2 linked regions of the Drosophila melanogaster genome follow. The protein of the gene in region 1 binds, or shares a complex with, the protein of each later gene. Each region holds a gene or a part of one and is shown on either strand. Other genes may lie near its edges. A codon is read from its position in the direction of its gene.

Region 1 (8,783 bases):
TGACACGTTTTCGTTAATTTGGGGTTATTTTTCGCTTGGGGTACACAAAATACCATACTAGATTATAAAACTGGGGCTCACCTTGACGGCTTTTCTCTTTTTCTTGAAAAACTCAAGTTTGCACTGGAAAATTTCCGTTGCGTTGAGATTTGACGATTTGTTAATCGTGTAAATAATGCGCTTTCACAATCACTATTGATTTTCCGTGAACACGAACGGAAAAACACAATAACACGTTTTCTGTTATCTCCTACGCTCTGTATTTGCTTTTGTTGTTGCTGCTGCTATATCGCCTACAATTACAAAGCCAACTATCACATTCAGTACCGTGGAATACTTTTTTTGTACTTTAAATGTATAAATTTAAATCGAGACAGCGCTCAAAGCGAGTTGTCCATTGTGTCTATACGGGCCGAGATTCGACATTCAACTGAAACGAAGCAACGAGACGAGCGCTGCCGAAGTCGATTTCGAATCCCTCGGCTTCACGCTAATTCTGTAAACATTTAAGGTTATTTTTTTCAGAACTGCCAACGAGAGAGGTAGACAGACACCCTCTCTCAGCTGCCTAGCTTTGGTGAGTGGAATGTTCAATGCAGTTGTTCATTCGGCCTTCCGCACTTTTAATTTTCTTGCTATTACTGAAACTTTATTTAGCCACTTTTAGTGAAGGCGGGGCCCATAAACGTTGTTTAGAATCAAACAGTCTGGCTTTTTATTGTGGGCAAGTTGAACAATTAATAAAAATGGACAAATGCAAGTGCATAATTTTGTTGTACTACGACTAGTATTAATACGTAAATCGTAATAGACGTACTACTGTTGCCTGTATGGCTATCCCTTTCGCACTCGCAGACACCGCAGCCAGGATCATTGATTTTTATCCTCCTGCAAGAGAGCGAAGAGCATGCGCCGCGCGCGTGTCAATGCACCGCATTTCCACCTCTCTCTCACTCTCTCTCACTCTGTCTGTCTGTCTCTCCTTCATTGTGGCGAGGAGGAAGGAGCAGCTGGAACTTTCACAAAGTCCACATATCAAAAAAGGTAGATTATTATGCCTTCGAATTCCGATCATTATTTTTTTAAACGAAAAAATGCTTTTAATGATACGGCTTGGCTGGCGGAGTGCCAGCTTTAAACAAATCGGCTATGCAAAAAGCTATGTATGGAAAAGAGCAAAACAAAAAACAAAATTAAGAGAACATCTCAAAGTGCAGGCTCTGTCCCGTACTCGGTCCCGTACTAGCCTGATTCAGGTTAAACCAAAGACACTAGAAGTGTCAATCTAATGATGATGAATTAATGATGAATCCGTCCTTATACCAAAAACTAAAGAACAAGATTTACAACTTCAATTGCAATGCCTTATTTTGAGTCAATTTCTTCTATGTCTTCTAAAATGTCAGCTTTTTGATTCGCTTTTAGGTTATAGAAAATAGGGTTCCCTGGGGCGGGGTTCTAATATATATATTTTGCACACAGTACAAGGCTGAGTAATTGCTACAGTAAATATTACGCAATTTTATGTACATAAGTTAGTATATGACATGATAAAATGGCTGATAAAAACTAATAAATGCGAAGAAACCACTAGGGATTCTTAAAGTATTTGTTGAATATATTTATATTATGAAATTTACAAACATATTTCTTGAATTGACGTTTTTGCCTCGAACAAAGTATTTGCAATGAACTATCAATAAGTAAAATATTTTTAAACGAAGTCCCAAGCTTTTCTGATTAAGCCCCTTTGAGTTATGAATATATATTTGGCAGGGGAAATGCCAACACGTTCTGATACTGTATAAACAAAGATTGCCAAGTTTGAATCATTTATGGAAAACAGCCCGGCTACAGTGCGCGACATGTGTATATGGCGTCCGCAAGCAAACGGGTTGAACTTTTCAAATTTTATAAATACACGCTGCTAAATTTACCACGAAAATGTCGCGACGCATTTGAGAAATTTGCCTATAAATGCGAAGTCTAGACGACTTTGACATGTTGCAAGTCGACACTGTTTGCAGGCGGTCTTCTGCTGTAAATTAAGCGAAAATGTGGCGTCTATACAAGCATTCTATTTGCGGATGCTGCCAGAGGCACTTCGGTTTTCATTTCATATTCAGCATCAAAAGATCACTCCGCTGACCACGCAGAGTTTGGGTCTCGAGTCGCCGGACAAGTTTTAGTTGAAAAATCCGCGGGCTTGGAGCTAAACGGCCTTGCAAGGCCTTTTAAAGTTGTTGCAACCGCCCTGTTCTTGTTGGTGCTGCTTTTAATGCACAGTTAAAATAGCCTACAGCGTTTTAACTTAATGTGTTGACAGCTGTTTAAGCTATTTCAAACAACTTGAGTCACTTTGTTGCTTTAATAATGAAACCATGCCAGCATTAACAAGTATGACTCAATAGGGATATACCTTAATTTTATCTATATATGCATGTATAATATTCATTTAAGATAAATATTAAGGAGCGTGTCAAAAGATTGCTGCAACTTTGTAATTCCTAAGTTCCTCATATTACATTTCAAAAGCTATACTCTACAGTTGATTCTGTTTATGTTATATTTTGTGGCTTTTTATTAACAGCCAACTGCAGCGGAGCTGAAAACCTGTTTGCCATTTTTGTATTCTCTTCATTCATTTGTGCGGCGATTGGCAAAAGGTGTCATAACAACGCGTTGGGCACGATTCGATTAGACTAGCCACTACCCATTGCTTATAACATGTGCTGCCTGTCGGTCCCTTTTCTAGCCACCATGTATTTACCTGCTCCATTCAGGGCCAAAAAAAAAGGAAGGAAAGAAAGCACCTGGATCGACAATTGTGGACGTGTGCCGGCAGCTGCAGCAACTAGGTAATAACCGATCAGAGGATCGCCGAAAGCGGAGCCAGCAACATCTGCTCCTGGGGCAAGGGTCCTCATCCTTATTGTGCACGCTTCCAGTGAAAGGATCGCGCGGCACATGACGACGCCAGCTGCCGTCGATCCTTTGTCAGGATATTTTCGGTGTGTGGATGTGTGGAACAATCCAATAATGAGCCTACCGAACTGAGGTGTCCCGCGGATCTTTTGCTGTCAAATGATGGAGCCTCAAAAAGGATGTATGTATATTGTATATTTAAGTTTATGGTGTAGTGGATAAATACTCAAAAATAATTTTATTCATCATTTTCAGGGGAACACCAAGTGAACTCATCAGTGAACTACTATTTGAAGTAAGGAATTTGAGAGGTTATGACATTACTCAAGTGACCTAATTTCCTGTGAAACCATCTAGTCACCGTTACTAGGTATAGATTAGACTTGCCAGTTGACAGTTGTTTTAAACAAATATCTCACGAATGAATGACGCAAAACAGAATGCAGCGAGGATATATGAATTTCGTTCTAGTAAAATAAGTGAGGTAAGCAACTGATGCTATAGGCAAAACCCCATCAATCATAGGAACCTACGCAGCGCTGTAAATGGAAATGACATTGAGCGGTAATTAGAAATTGGAAAATTCTAGCTAGTAAACGCGTTCCACGAATGGGTGGGTTTTGCAGCATGGGGGTGGTGTTGATTTCATCATGAATGAAATGCGATGCGAATGAGCTCAGCATCGGCGGAGATAAAAGGTACAATCTTAGTTAATATCCAGGCAGAAACATGTGCGACAGACAGATTTCATTCCAACCCATCCCTCAAAATGACAAGCTAGCACAAGAGCGAATAAGATAAGACGGGATCCTGACATATGCCTAAGTATGTATGTACATGTGTATCTCGGCCTCCAGATTGTTTTAGAAATCACTAGAAAACGCCAGAGAGCGGAGAGCGAGATAGGGAGAAAGGGGGAGAGAGAGAGAGTGAGAGAGGGAGGGATAATGGTCGTGTCCCTGTTTATGTGGGGGTAAGGACATGAATGAAAAAAGGCGTGTTGGAGAGAGAAAGGTAGACAGGCGGCGCCTATTTGTATGCAGCATAATTCAAGTATAGTAAAGTAAACCCATTTTGTTTTTTCTATAAACCGCGGGAAGATTGAACACACATATTTATATTTACTTACCAGAGACATTTTAAACAGTGATAACGTATCAGTTTATCATTGGTTTTTTTAATGCCTTTTTTCGGCCACCAAATCGTTAATTGTTTTCGTTCACCTCTTATCGCACCACGATAAGATTATAAAATCACTTAAAATAAGTTTTGCTGTATAAAATGTTTACACAACTGTGCTCACGTCGACTGGTGGGTTTGAATGCCGTGCAACGACTACGCCAAAGCTATGTGCCTATATAGCTCACTTTCCTATAGGTATTTGTTTTGTCGGTTCTGCGTTCTCGTTTTGTTTTGTTTTGCTTGGCTTTCTAGTGAGCGAGAGGGTGCTGGCGGGGGAAAGAGAGAGAACTAGCGGGGCGGAACGGTCGAAATAGTTTTTTGCCGCCCAAGCGATGCGCAATTATTTTTGGGGGTGGGATGTCCGCACTTTCGTTGGCTATTCCAGCTGTGCGTCTCTAAACTGGAATGTTTTTTTTAAAACTTTTTTAAGTTTAATTAATAACTATTTTGCAAGCTATTTATATTTCTGAATATATTAAAATTTCAAAAACAAACAACTGTCAGCACACGAAGTCGTAGTTTTAAATAAATGCTAAATGGGGTCACACTGTTCAAGGTGCTTGGCTCGCTGATGTATCGATACGCGCTAAAAAGATATCGATAAGATGCATCAGTGGGATCAAGTCTACGCTAGGCCGTCAGCAGCGTTTTCAACCAACATTTATCGAATAAAACGGTTTGGAAATCGAAACGGTAGTTCAGGTATAACACATATACAAAATTGAGCCACTTATAGAACAAGGGTCTGTTACCCGGTCCAGTAACACCGCGAAAACTGAGCTTATTTCGATTCATCAGAATTAGAGCCCCTAACATTTTGTCTTGATTTGACAAAAAAATTAGTGGAACAAACAGAAGAACCTTCGGCATACCGAGAACTCCCAGTAAAAACAAAATACTTTGATCAGTTTGGAAATTTATTTTAACATCAATTGTTTGTTGTTTCGGTTTAATAAACTTTCGAGAATTCTTAGTATCAAACCAGGAATAAATACAAACAATTGAGGGAAGCCACAATTAGAGAAGTTGACCAAAAACAGCATTTTTTGAGTTTGAAAGTAAATTGATTCTGTTGTATCCTCTTTTTCCTTTTTGTGTTTTATATAGATAAAATTAGAAACGGTATTAATATATTTAAAAAGTTGTTTGAAAATTGCATTGTATGTGTTTTTGAGGCACATCAAATATATCGATAGATATGGCCGCATCTATTTTTGAACTAAATGTAAAGAATTGGATGCAAAAAGAACGCATTTCTCCCGAATGGAGTAATAAGACGAACAATTACGAATACCCTAAAATAATATTGATAGTTTAATTAACATCGTTAAAAATATCGGTCCATAACAGCACTGCTAAGTGTTAACATAACTAAGACGCCATCTACAATTTTGTGAGCGGCGTTAGTGTGACCAGGCGAAAAGAGTGCTAAATATACCGCGCATTGCCCTCCGATTCACATCGTCAAAAAATTTTGGTCTGTGAACTTCGTGCGGATGAAATTCGATTTGAACGCCACCGAAAATATGCAAAATAAAGTGAAATACCAGTGCCTCGCGGACGAGGAGCGCTTCAGCGGAGAGTCCTGCAGCCATTAAAGCCCAGAGAGCACTGAAAGTTCTGGGAATTTCGCGGGAAAGGTGCGTTTTTCGCTTGGTCTTTCGGTGTGTGTGAAAAGTTTCTACTGCAATCCATTTTTCTCTACGTGCGTGTGCGGCATACGTGTGTATGTGTTGCGTCTGTGTGCGAGGCGAGTGAATGTGTGTGTGAGTGTGGAGTGGAATGTAAAATGTGGGGCGATGTAAAAATGCCTTTACATAAGTGCACTCGCATTTGCAAGGATTTTGTGCAATACCGCCATCCTGCCAAATTACATAAAATCATCGCATTTCAGTGCGTGAAAAAATACGCGGTTTCCATTTTTGTTCTATTTACTCGCGACGTCAGCGTCGCGGCTGTTGAATTTATGTCAAATTGGTAACACACACACATGCAGGCTCAGCCATTCGCGCTCTCCGTATGCAAGCCCTAACTGCATGAGTGTGTGTGAGCGGCAGAGAGAGAGAGAGAGCGCGAAAGGGAGAATGATAAACAAAGTGTAAAAAAAACAAGCGGCTGCTAAAATGCCCGCAAGTGTTTTTAATTGATATGAAAATGTGTTTGCTTAACACTATGTAGCCCAGCAGCTGGTGGCTCTAAATAAAGCATTTGCAAAATATTAATTTCTCCTATCGTATTTCTTAGTTTTTGCCCCATCCTCTTGTGTAATTTCCATTGAATGCAACAACAAAGGTGCGCGTTAAACAACAACAAATAGCATTGTTTTGCGGGAGAGCGAGTGTGAGAGAGAGAGAGCGTTCCTGATTGCGACATTGTGTGAGTGAGCGGAGAAGAAAACGCCAAGAAGTTGGCTGATAAAGCAAACGCACACGCACGCACGCACGCGCACACACACGCAAAGAAAATAGAAAAATCGTAAAATAATAATAATCAGCAAGCAGGAAAAGAAGAAGCAGCAGCAGCAGCAGTACAAACAGCAAAAGTGTAGTCGTGATCGAAAATCGAAAGTGTGAAGCATTTTCTATAAATAGTGCAAAATCAAAACCCAATTCCCATTGCAAACAAAAGCGCAATAAAGCAATTACGATAGAGCAATAGCGATACAACAGCGCTACATACAAAATCTACACACATCTGGAGCAGTCGAGCGATCTCACAGAGCGCGTGCTCTGCAGCAAGTAGCAGGATTATCTGAAGGAGCAGATCGTTCGTCTGGCCAAGAAGGATCTGCCAAGATGTCCTCGCTGGACGCACGCAACAACTCGGCGATGATGAAGCGCGCCGAGCAGCTGAAGCGCTGGGAGGAGTCGGACACAAACCGCGCCGCCCCCACCCCCCGGCACGAGCACGGCCGCAGGATCAAGTTCAGCTCCGGCTGTGTCTTCCTCGCCGCCTGCCTTTCCGGCGACAAGGACGAGGTCGTCCAGCTGCTCGACCAGGGCGCCGACATCAACACCGCCAACGTCGATGGACTCACCGCCCTGCACCAGGTAAGTCTGCCAGTAATCATCATTCTTTCACACTTAGGAATAGTCCTTATTGGGTGGTAGAAAATGTAACGTTTGAATGGTTATACTTTGCTCAACTAGTCAATTTGTAAATAAATTTAAATTAAAGAACATACAATAAAATAAAATATATTTTAAAGCTATCTTTAAAGATATAGTACACAGATAGAAAACATAAAACATTCGCTAGAAGAAAAGAAAAAGACAACAGTCTTTTAGTAGGTATTGATAATTCCCACTTAAGTAATCGTTTGCAAACAGACATTATTTTCTTGTTTGGGTAGAAGTGGCGAGTATTAGCAATTCTATCAAGGGTTGCATTTGCAGCAGGTGCAATTTCCAGTTAATTAAATGTGAATATTCACACTGCATCCCCTATCACCAGGGATTGATTTCCCACTTTAGAAGGCGGCTAGGCGTTGCGTCAGTCTGCTGCAACTGCGATCACGCGACTGGGCGAGGGGGTGGTGGGTGAATTGGGGGCGGGGTTGGGGTGGAACGGGCGCAGGGAGCTGCAGTTTCGACACTGTTGCGTTGCGTCCAACTGTGGTGCTGACGTGAATCGCACTGTGGGTCGAATTCCATGGGGTCATGGGATCAAATTATTAAAATGCTACAAGAATATCTAGCAGCAAACGAAAAGTATTACCTTATTGTTTCGTAAGGATTAACCATTTAATTTTTATGTATACTTCATTTAACTTAAGAGCGTTTAAAGTAAAACAACAAATTAAAATATAAAGAACAAATTACTAAATTGATTAATTTTACAAGATTTTCCATCGAAGAAGATAAAGAACACAGCATTATGACACATTGACGTTATTATTTAGGAATTTTTATAGGATATTCAATCAAGGTCAAGAATGATCCATCCTGTTTAGACCCACTGTGCAGCGCCGTTCGCTAGACGCTCGACCATTATTGTTGTTGGGTATTTCGTGCTCTTTCGCCGCCGCAACAATAATTCGAATTTCGAATATTAACAAATACAGCAAATACATGGCTAATGCAAGCCGACGATTTACAAGTCGAATGGCCAGAACGGCATAGCCAACAACAACAGCCACAAGCAAAAGGCAAACGGCCAAAAGCATTAAATAAGAAAAATACAAAATGTTCTATTTTTAAACACCCAAGAAAAACATACAAAACCCATACACACGAAAGCGCGTTTACATATTGAAAGCCCAAAGATTTTCGCAAAATCATTTTCAGTTTTCCTCCAATTTGCTTGACTCGATTTTGTGGCATGTCGAAGAATAGGAATTTAATGATACTTTGCCGGCACGAAAATGAAATAAAAAGCTTAAATTTTCCGTACCTATCATGGAAATTCGTTCTATTGTTATGCACATGATAATATTGTAGATTAAGACAAGGACTATTTAATTAATACAAAATAATAGGAAGAACAAATAAAGATTTGCGATTTGCGGTTTATCATTTGATAACTATTTAATGGAGAGTTTATTTAACCTTTAAAAAATAGTTAAAATAGTATCAAGAATACAGAAATATTTTGTGGTACTGTTTTAAAGTTATTTATTAGAATTAATTAATTCCCATGGAATTAATATACAAATTTCTTAGTCCACTCCCATCTTG
Region 2 (6,430 bases), 6.1 Mb from region 1:
GACTGCGACGAATGCGCGGCAAGGAGAGCATTTTCAAGAAGCCCGAACTCCCCATTGGACGCTGTTTGAAGCCAAGAAAAACGCCAGATTACCAGGTGACAGACCATCCCTCTGCAATTAGTTGTCCCCACCCTAAACGTTTGACCTACTCTCTAGGTAAACCCGCACAAATGGAAGAAGTACTCCCTGTCTGATGTGGACATTTCCGAACAGAGCAACTCCGCCGCCGCCTTGTCCTTCCTGCGACAAATGGATGCACAGCGCGAGGCTGAGGGCGTCGATAACGAATCTCCACCTACAGATGGCAAGATCGAGTTCAAGAGGACCAGCAAACTCAGCCGCAAGCTCAAGAGCCTCAAACAGCAGGAGGTGGATGATGTGGAGCTGGATAAGCCGCAGTTAAGAGGTTCCAAGCTGGTGATGCCTGAGTATGTAATTGGCCAAAAGCCGCATAAGCCAAAGAAATGCAAAACCAAATCGGAACAGAGCCGTGCAGCGGGAAAACTACAACTGTCCCACTTGGCGGAGGAGGATGAGCAGGATGATTAGGTTAAAATGTATGATCCTAAGATTATATTATATAATAATTAGTGTCCCAATGAAATTTTAGAAATGTAAATAGATTTTAATTATATACAAACTGCGGTTTGTTGTGAAATATCATCGTTTATTTTGTAAGTGTACACACTCAAAAATCAGACTGGAAAATTGCTTTACATTTTGCCTAAATGTTCGATTTCAAAAATCTGGCTGTGTATATACTGGAACTCTGTATTATAATATTTGTAGATTTCTGGCAGTTATCACATAAATTACATAATTTCGTACCTTTAAATGAGGTATGCAATACGTATTAGAAGAATACTTGAATGAGTATTTGTTACAATATAAACATTTTATAGCACGCGAGCACAGAACACATAATCTAAAAGACATACTAAATGCGACGATAAGAACATAAATGCGGTTAAAAATGCATCCGGAATGATAAAATGTCCAGTGGCGGCAACTATTCGTTGAAAAACCCGGGATTGAAGTAGAGTTTCTTATTAAAGCCAAGATTATCATAGGCACCTGTCTGCATGGAACCCTTCTTGGTGCGCTTATTACCCACGGCTTCGCTCGTCTTCTTTAGGATATCCTCAAGGTCTGTGTCGTGGGCATGATCGGCCATCACTTGGCAAAACTTCTGGATGTACCAGCTGCCCGTGTCGAGATCGCGGTGGGTAACATAGCCCGGCGTATTAGCATAGCAGACCAGAGTGTCGGCAAGACTTGGCACATTGGTGCTCGGGCTGGGTATGCCCTCCGTCTGGGTGTCAGGCCACTTCTCCTCTTGCGCCGTATACACTGGCTCCATGAGATTGCCTTGATTCTTTGGATGGCCCAAATCATATTCATCGCCGCGGCAAAAGGGAAACATAAGCACCTTCGGCTTGTTCACCAAATAAGGACATTTGGCCGTCTGGAAATGGTCCTTGATCTTCTGCATATCGACCACAGATCCATCGCAAAACTCCACCTTCTCTTTTCCCTCCACACTGTTGCCGTGTGTCATCAGTACCATTACGAAACACTCGGTATTCTGCACATACGACGAGGAGGTCACCATTGTCAGAAGTTTAAAGAACTGATCCTGATTCACGTTCCCATAGGGGAAAATCGTAAAATTCAGTTCTTGAAACAAGTGTATCAACGACTTGCTGTCCTTTTCGGCTCCGATCCGTCGACGGTTTTGATCCGGATAGTCCATTATGTTAACCATTAGCAAAACGCCTCGGTTGAAACGTGATTGCATCTTATATGTGCCCAATATGGCACTATCCCCACCATGTATCTTTTTCGATTTTTTTACCTCGGGACCGTCAACGACACCCACATAAGGGGTGAGTGCTCCCAGCGGCTCATTCCGGAGCTTTGGTAGGAGAGAGAAAGAAAGAACAAATTACAATAAAGATAAGATTTTCAATATATATATTATATTTTCATTGCACGGTTAATGTGGCAGACAAAGAAGTAATCAACATTCGTGCTATATAAACACAGCTGCCAGCAATATTGCGATAAGATTCTGGTTAAAAACAAATCCTACTAAAAGAATAATTGGGATAGGTAAGTAGAATGGATGTGATTCATGCTTCCAAAAAAAATGGAAAACAAGAATCTCATACACGAACTAACTTCTGAAAGAGAAGCAAATAATACTGTGCACATGTACCAAAGTAGTATTCATCATTGAGTCCATTTACAATTCTTAAAGATACCTTTTCTAATCTCATTCCAATAGGAATAACTCAATTAACAAACCTAAAAAAAAAAATGCAAATAAATTGTGCCATAAACCGGTTTTTTGTAGAAATCAGGGTCAATGACCTGAGCTGCAATTTCACCATCAAAGCTTTCGTATGATTTTATTTTCATTACCTTGCTAACGCAGGGTCCTTCGGAGGCTTCGGGTGAGGGTGTGTCCACAATATCGGCCGACTTCCGGCTGGTTCTCCGTTCGTTTAGCGAGATAAAGGGTGGCCTTGAATCGGACTCATCGACGGATTCCAATAGAACGGCCGCATCCAGACAATTGATATTGCGCAGTGCATTGATCAGCAGGTTATAGGCGGTGGGACCACGCTGGGTGATCTTCAATAGGAGCCTACGATGCTGCTCCACACGCACATCCTTCTCGTCCATGTTGAATGGCTTGCCATTGAGATCCTGCGTATTTCTTAGCATCTGAACGGTTAGGATGCCCTGTTGCACGCACTCCATGGCCAGACGCTCGTAGTTCGTCCATTCAACCAGTATATTCAGATTCTTGCGTATATGCTCGCGATGCCTCTTCGGCATTCCAATCTCGAGCTCCGGCGGCTGCATTCCGGATATGGCTTCCACGCGTTCCGGTGACTCCGCTTATTGGGCGCGCCAAGGATGGCTGCCGTGATCAGTCTCCAATTGGCAGTGGTATTGGCAGTGAATCACCCGTCTCCAAGGTTTTCCCGGGAATGATTTCGTTTATCGCTACTTGTCGATTCTTTGTCTCCGCTTTGTTGTTGTCGTCGTTGTTTTTGTTTTGCGACTTTCAAGAAAGGGGCACAAATCGGCGGCCCTGCTGGTGTCCTTATTTTTCCAAAAGTAAATTAACTAGTCTATATATTGCACTAGATGATCCTAGCAAGGATCGGGGATCTTCGAATAGGATTTCTTTCGAAACAAAAGGACCAACGAGCGTTTCGCGCCGCCAAACTCGCCACTAAACTAATAAATGAAACTTTGGGATTGGTGTGGCTGCTTGTGGGTGCGCCATTTTAACCAGAGAACGCGTCCGGGATAAATCCATGACATGAACCGTCTCCATGTTCCACTTATTCCACCATTCCTTCATTGCCGCATCAAATGATTCAATTTAATACTAAATACCAAATACCATATGGGGTCAGCCTAACAAACCGTAAACATAAACAAAAGAAATGGAGGAGGAGCAACAATTTACGCCGGAACCGAAAAACTCCGCGCAAAAAGGCGCAGAAAAGCCTGCAAGGATTCCGAGAGAGGTGAAAGTTAAGCTGCAAAGGCAACTAAACAGACTGGGCTACTCACAGCAAATCCTGCTCGAAGCAGCCAAGCAGCAAAATCAAAATAATTCGAATGGCATTCTCCGTGAGTTTTCTTAAAACATGCATAATGCAATAAAAGTACATTGTCCCCCAATCCCTTTTCTAGAGTATGTGGCCGACATGATTGGCAAGGGCGAGGAAATGGTGAAAAACTGCGACTCCGTTAGCTTAAACAACATTAACCAGTGGCTGGAGCTCATGAAAAGTTCGCAACTCGCTGAACTCTGCGAATTCGAAGCAGCCGTCGTTGTGAACTCCATAATCCAAAATGAGACAAAGCCATCGCCAACGGAACTGAACGGCATTGACTTGAAGTAGGAATGGTTTTGATAAACTACATTTGTATTTAGCATTGTGGTACTTTCAGTGAGGCCTACAAGTTTCTGGAAAACGCTTTGATGGGCCAGCCGCAAAAGAAGATGAGCGATGCGACCAAAGAATTTTTGTCCAAGGAAATTGAGGTGAGCAGAAGGCTGCATCAACTTTCCAAAATAGTTAAAAAAAAAGGAAATCCTAATGCCAACAGCTGCTCATAGAGAAGGCAAACACCGACGAATCCGACGATGTGGCACGCAGCATGGGGCAGCGTTTATTTGACCACCAGTTTTTGGATTACATGGAACAGCGGCAAAAGTGCAGTTTGGATCCACTATTCCTGGACGAGAAGCTAACGTAGAGGCTGTTATTGAGTAATTGAGGAATTTAGCACACAGAGCATTTATTCATTTCCACACATTTATTAAACATTTAAATTCAATTGTTTGTTACATACGTACATTGTCACACGCATTTGCACCGCTCCATTATCATCAATCAAATCATCGGATCCCACGTTTATACATTATTAGTATTACTATGCCAAATGCCCCAACCTTTGTACGTATTAATATTTGATAATTACACTCTTAATTAAGTACTTGACTATAAACAGTTTTAGCACATTTAAAATCTAGAATTCCTTTAGTTGTACACAATTACTTCGAGTAGTGTAAGAAAAAGTTGTGGGTCTTTGGCCTTTGGATTCTCTCAATTGCATAACATTTATTGTGCATGATTGTTTTCAATTGTTGGGGCTGCCAATTAGCATTGCATAGACTAGTGTAGAGATAGGTAGTTTAGTTTTAGGTTTTGCTACGATTAGCTTTGTTTTAAACTTTAAGAGGCATAAAAACAGTTGAGTGCTGCTTGACTCCCATAGCATCACAATAGAATCACAAGAGACAGAGTTGGCTTCATTTCAATTCAATTCATTAGAGGATCTAGGATGGTACACTTACGATAACATAACGTACATACGATCAGAATTACATACAAATTCGAATACAAATATAATACCCTTTTGTTTTAGGCGCAGTTACTAGCACTAAAACGATCTTCACACAATCAAATGCAATTCAATAATGTACATAATATAACTCTTAAATGTTCAGTCCAGTTTGAGCTTTTGGTTTTCCCCTTTTTCTTTGATTTAGATTTTGTTTTTAATTTTTTCATTTTTAAATTTTTTTTTTTGTTTCTTGTGTTTAGGTTTCTGTCTTGTCGCGTAAACATTAATTAAAATTAAGTAAATCTAATTATATATACGTACGATTAAACGCTAGTAAACCATATCGATATGCTTGTCTAAGGTGAAATAAATAAACAACAAATTCGGACCGAACAAAATGCAAAGCAATTTCAGGTGCATGGCAAGGATATGCTGGAGTTTCAGGATCAAATTAGCTGGCATTAACCAAACGCAGATCCAACGAATCGAACAAACACAACGAACGACAACAACGTAACTTAAAATTGCAATTGTTTGTTAGTTGATAGTTGATATAGAATTAGTTTTAGTGTCGCTTGAATTTTGATTGTCCCGTTCCCGTTCGTGTAATTCATACTTTTATTCATATCATTCGAGTATGTGTATATAAAGTAGAGTGGTTTTTAATGTGTCCTAGATAGAGTTCGTCCTGCTGCTGCTGCTGCGTTTTGTATACATATATAAATTCATATTTTTTTTCGGGTTTCACTTCTACTCCGCTAAACATAGCACAACAATAATGATAATAATCGCTTTAATTGCCGTTTACGTAATGAATACATCTATGACACTGGTGAGTCTTCACTATATGTATAAAGTTTCAAGAGTTTACCATTACCAATTACCACACTTTTACGCATATAGCTGCCCAACTATACAAATTGACTATAAATGTGAGACTGAGATTGAGTTTGAGATTGCCTTCGGGTACAGCGGCTTCAGTAATTACTGGCTCTGGTTCTATTTCGGATCGGTGGACCTTGGATTGGATTCGTGTATATTCACCTTAGTAGTAGTTTTGGGTGTTTTTTTGGAGCTATCTATTACGTTTGATCATAGTGTGTATATATTGAATGAATTGAATGATGGGTATAGAATATACATAGATTTATGTGGGATTCATCACTATAAAGCGCAGGCGGGATCACTCGAGGTTCTTGGCCAAAAAATAAACGTTCCTTTCGTATTCGTGGTTATTCATATTGATTACTTTTTTGTTTGTTTTTTTTTTTTTTTTGATTGCGATTGCTGTAAAGCTCTGTGATAAGTTTGGTTTCTATGGTGCTAGGTACGTTGTATGTAGGTACACGATTCTCTCTTAGTTGATTGCATATATTTATCATCGATGTTTGCAAAATAAATAGGCAATATATGTTTGCTTCTGTATCTTTTGCAGTGTGATATGGTTTAAACTATATATATATGATAAACTATGATGATATAGGCGAGTTCAATGACACATAGAGGTATATATTTGACATATTTTTGTATTTTTTTTTTATTTTTTGCCTAG

What was found. Proteins that work in one complex are often made in the same cells at the same time.
Region 2: the proteins of Diap1 (region 1) and Dronc are in contact, whole or in part, in a crystal structure (PDB 1Q4Q), measured with the Drosophila melanogaster proteins. Residues at the interface, in NP_001261916.1 of Drosophila melanogaster: Thr255, Arg260, Val261, Arg262, Gly269, Leu270, Met271, Asp272, Trp273, Asn274, Asp277, Gln282, Trp286; in NP_524017.1 of Drosophila melanogaster: Pro116 (codon at 2,526), Pro117 (codon at 2,523), Phe118 (codon at 2,520), Ile119 (codon at 2,517), Ser120 (codon at 2,514), Leu121 (codon at 2,511), Asn122 (codon at 2,508).

What each region holds. Positions count from the first base shown.
Region 1 is NT_037436.4:16,046,404-16,055,186, forward strand, and holds the start of Diap1 (Death-associated inhibitor of apoptosis 1), read right to left. Parts: upstream 4,632-8,783; 5' UTR 4,055-4,631; intron 3,901-4,054; exon of another isoform or gene 3,181-3,900; intron 3,107-3,180; exon of another isoform or gene 2,832-3,106; intron 444-2,831; exon of another isoform or gene 82-443; intron 1-81. Other genes in the region: Mbs (myosin binding subunit), read left to right, coding at 6,903-7,157. UniProt on the Drosophila melanogaster protein: Anti-apoptotic protein which functions as a caspase regulator, using its E3 ubiquitin-protein ligase activity to smother caspase activity. Binds, ubiquitinates and inactivates initiator caspase Dronc, and effector caspases Drice and Dcp-1.
Region 2 is NT_037436.4:9,965,329-9,971,758, reverse strand, and holds Dronc (death regulator Nedd2-like caspase), read right to left. Parts: upstream 3,281-6,430; 5' UTR 2,872-3,280; coding exon 2,425-2,871; intron 1,916-2,424; coding exon 1,010-1,915; 3' UTR 757-1,009; downstream 1-756. Other genes in the region: CG6674 (uncharacterized protein), read left to right, coding at 1-95, 157-549; CG6685 (uncharacterized protein), read left to right, coding at 3,465-3,654, 3,718-3,925, 3,979-4,072, 4,138-4,287. UniProt on the Drosophila melanogaster protein: Involved in the activation cascade of caspases responsible for apoptosis execution. Effector of steroid-mediated apoptosis during insect metamorphosis. Overexpression promotes programmed cell death.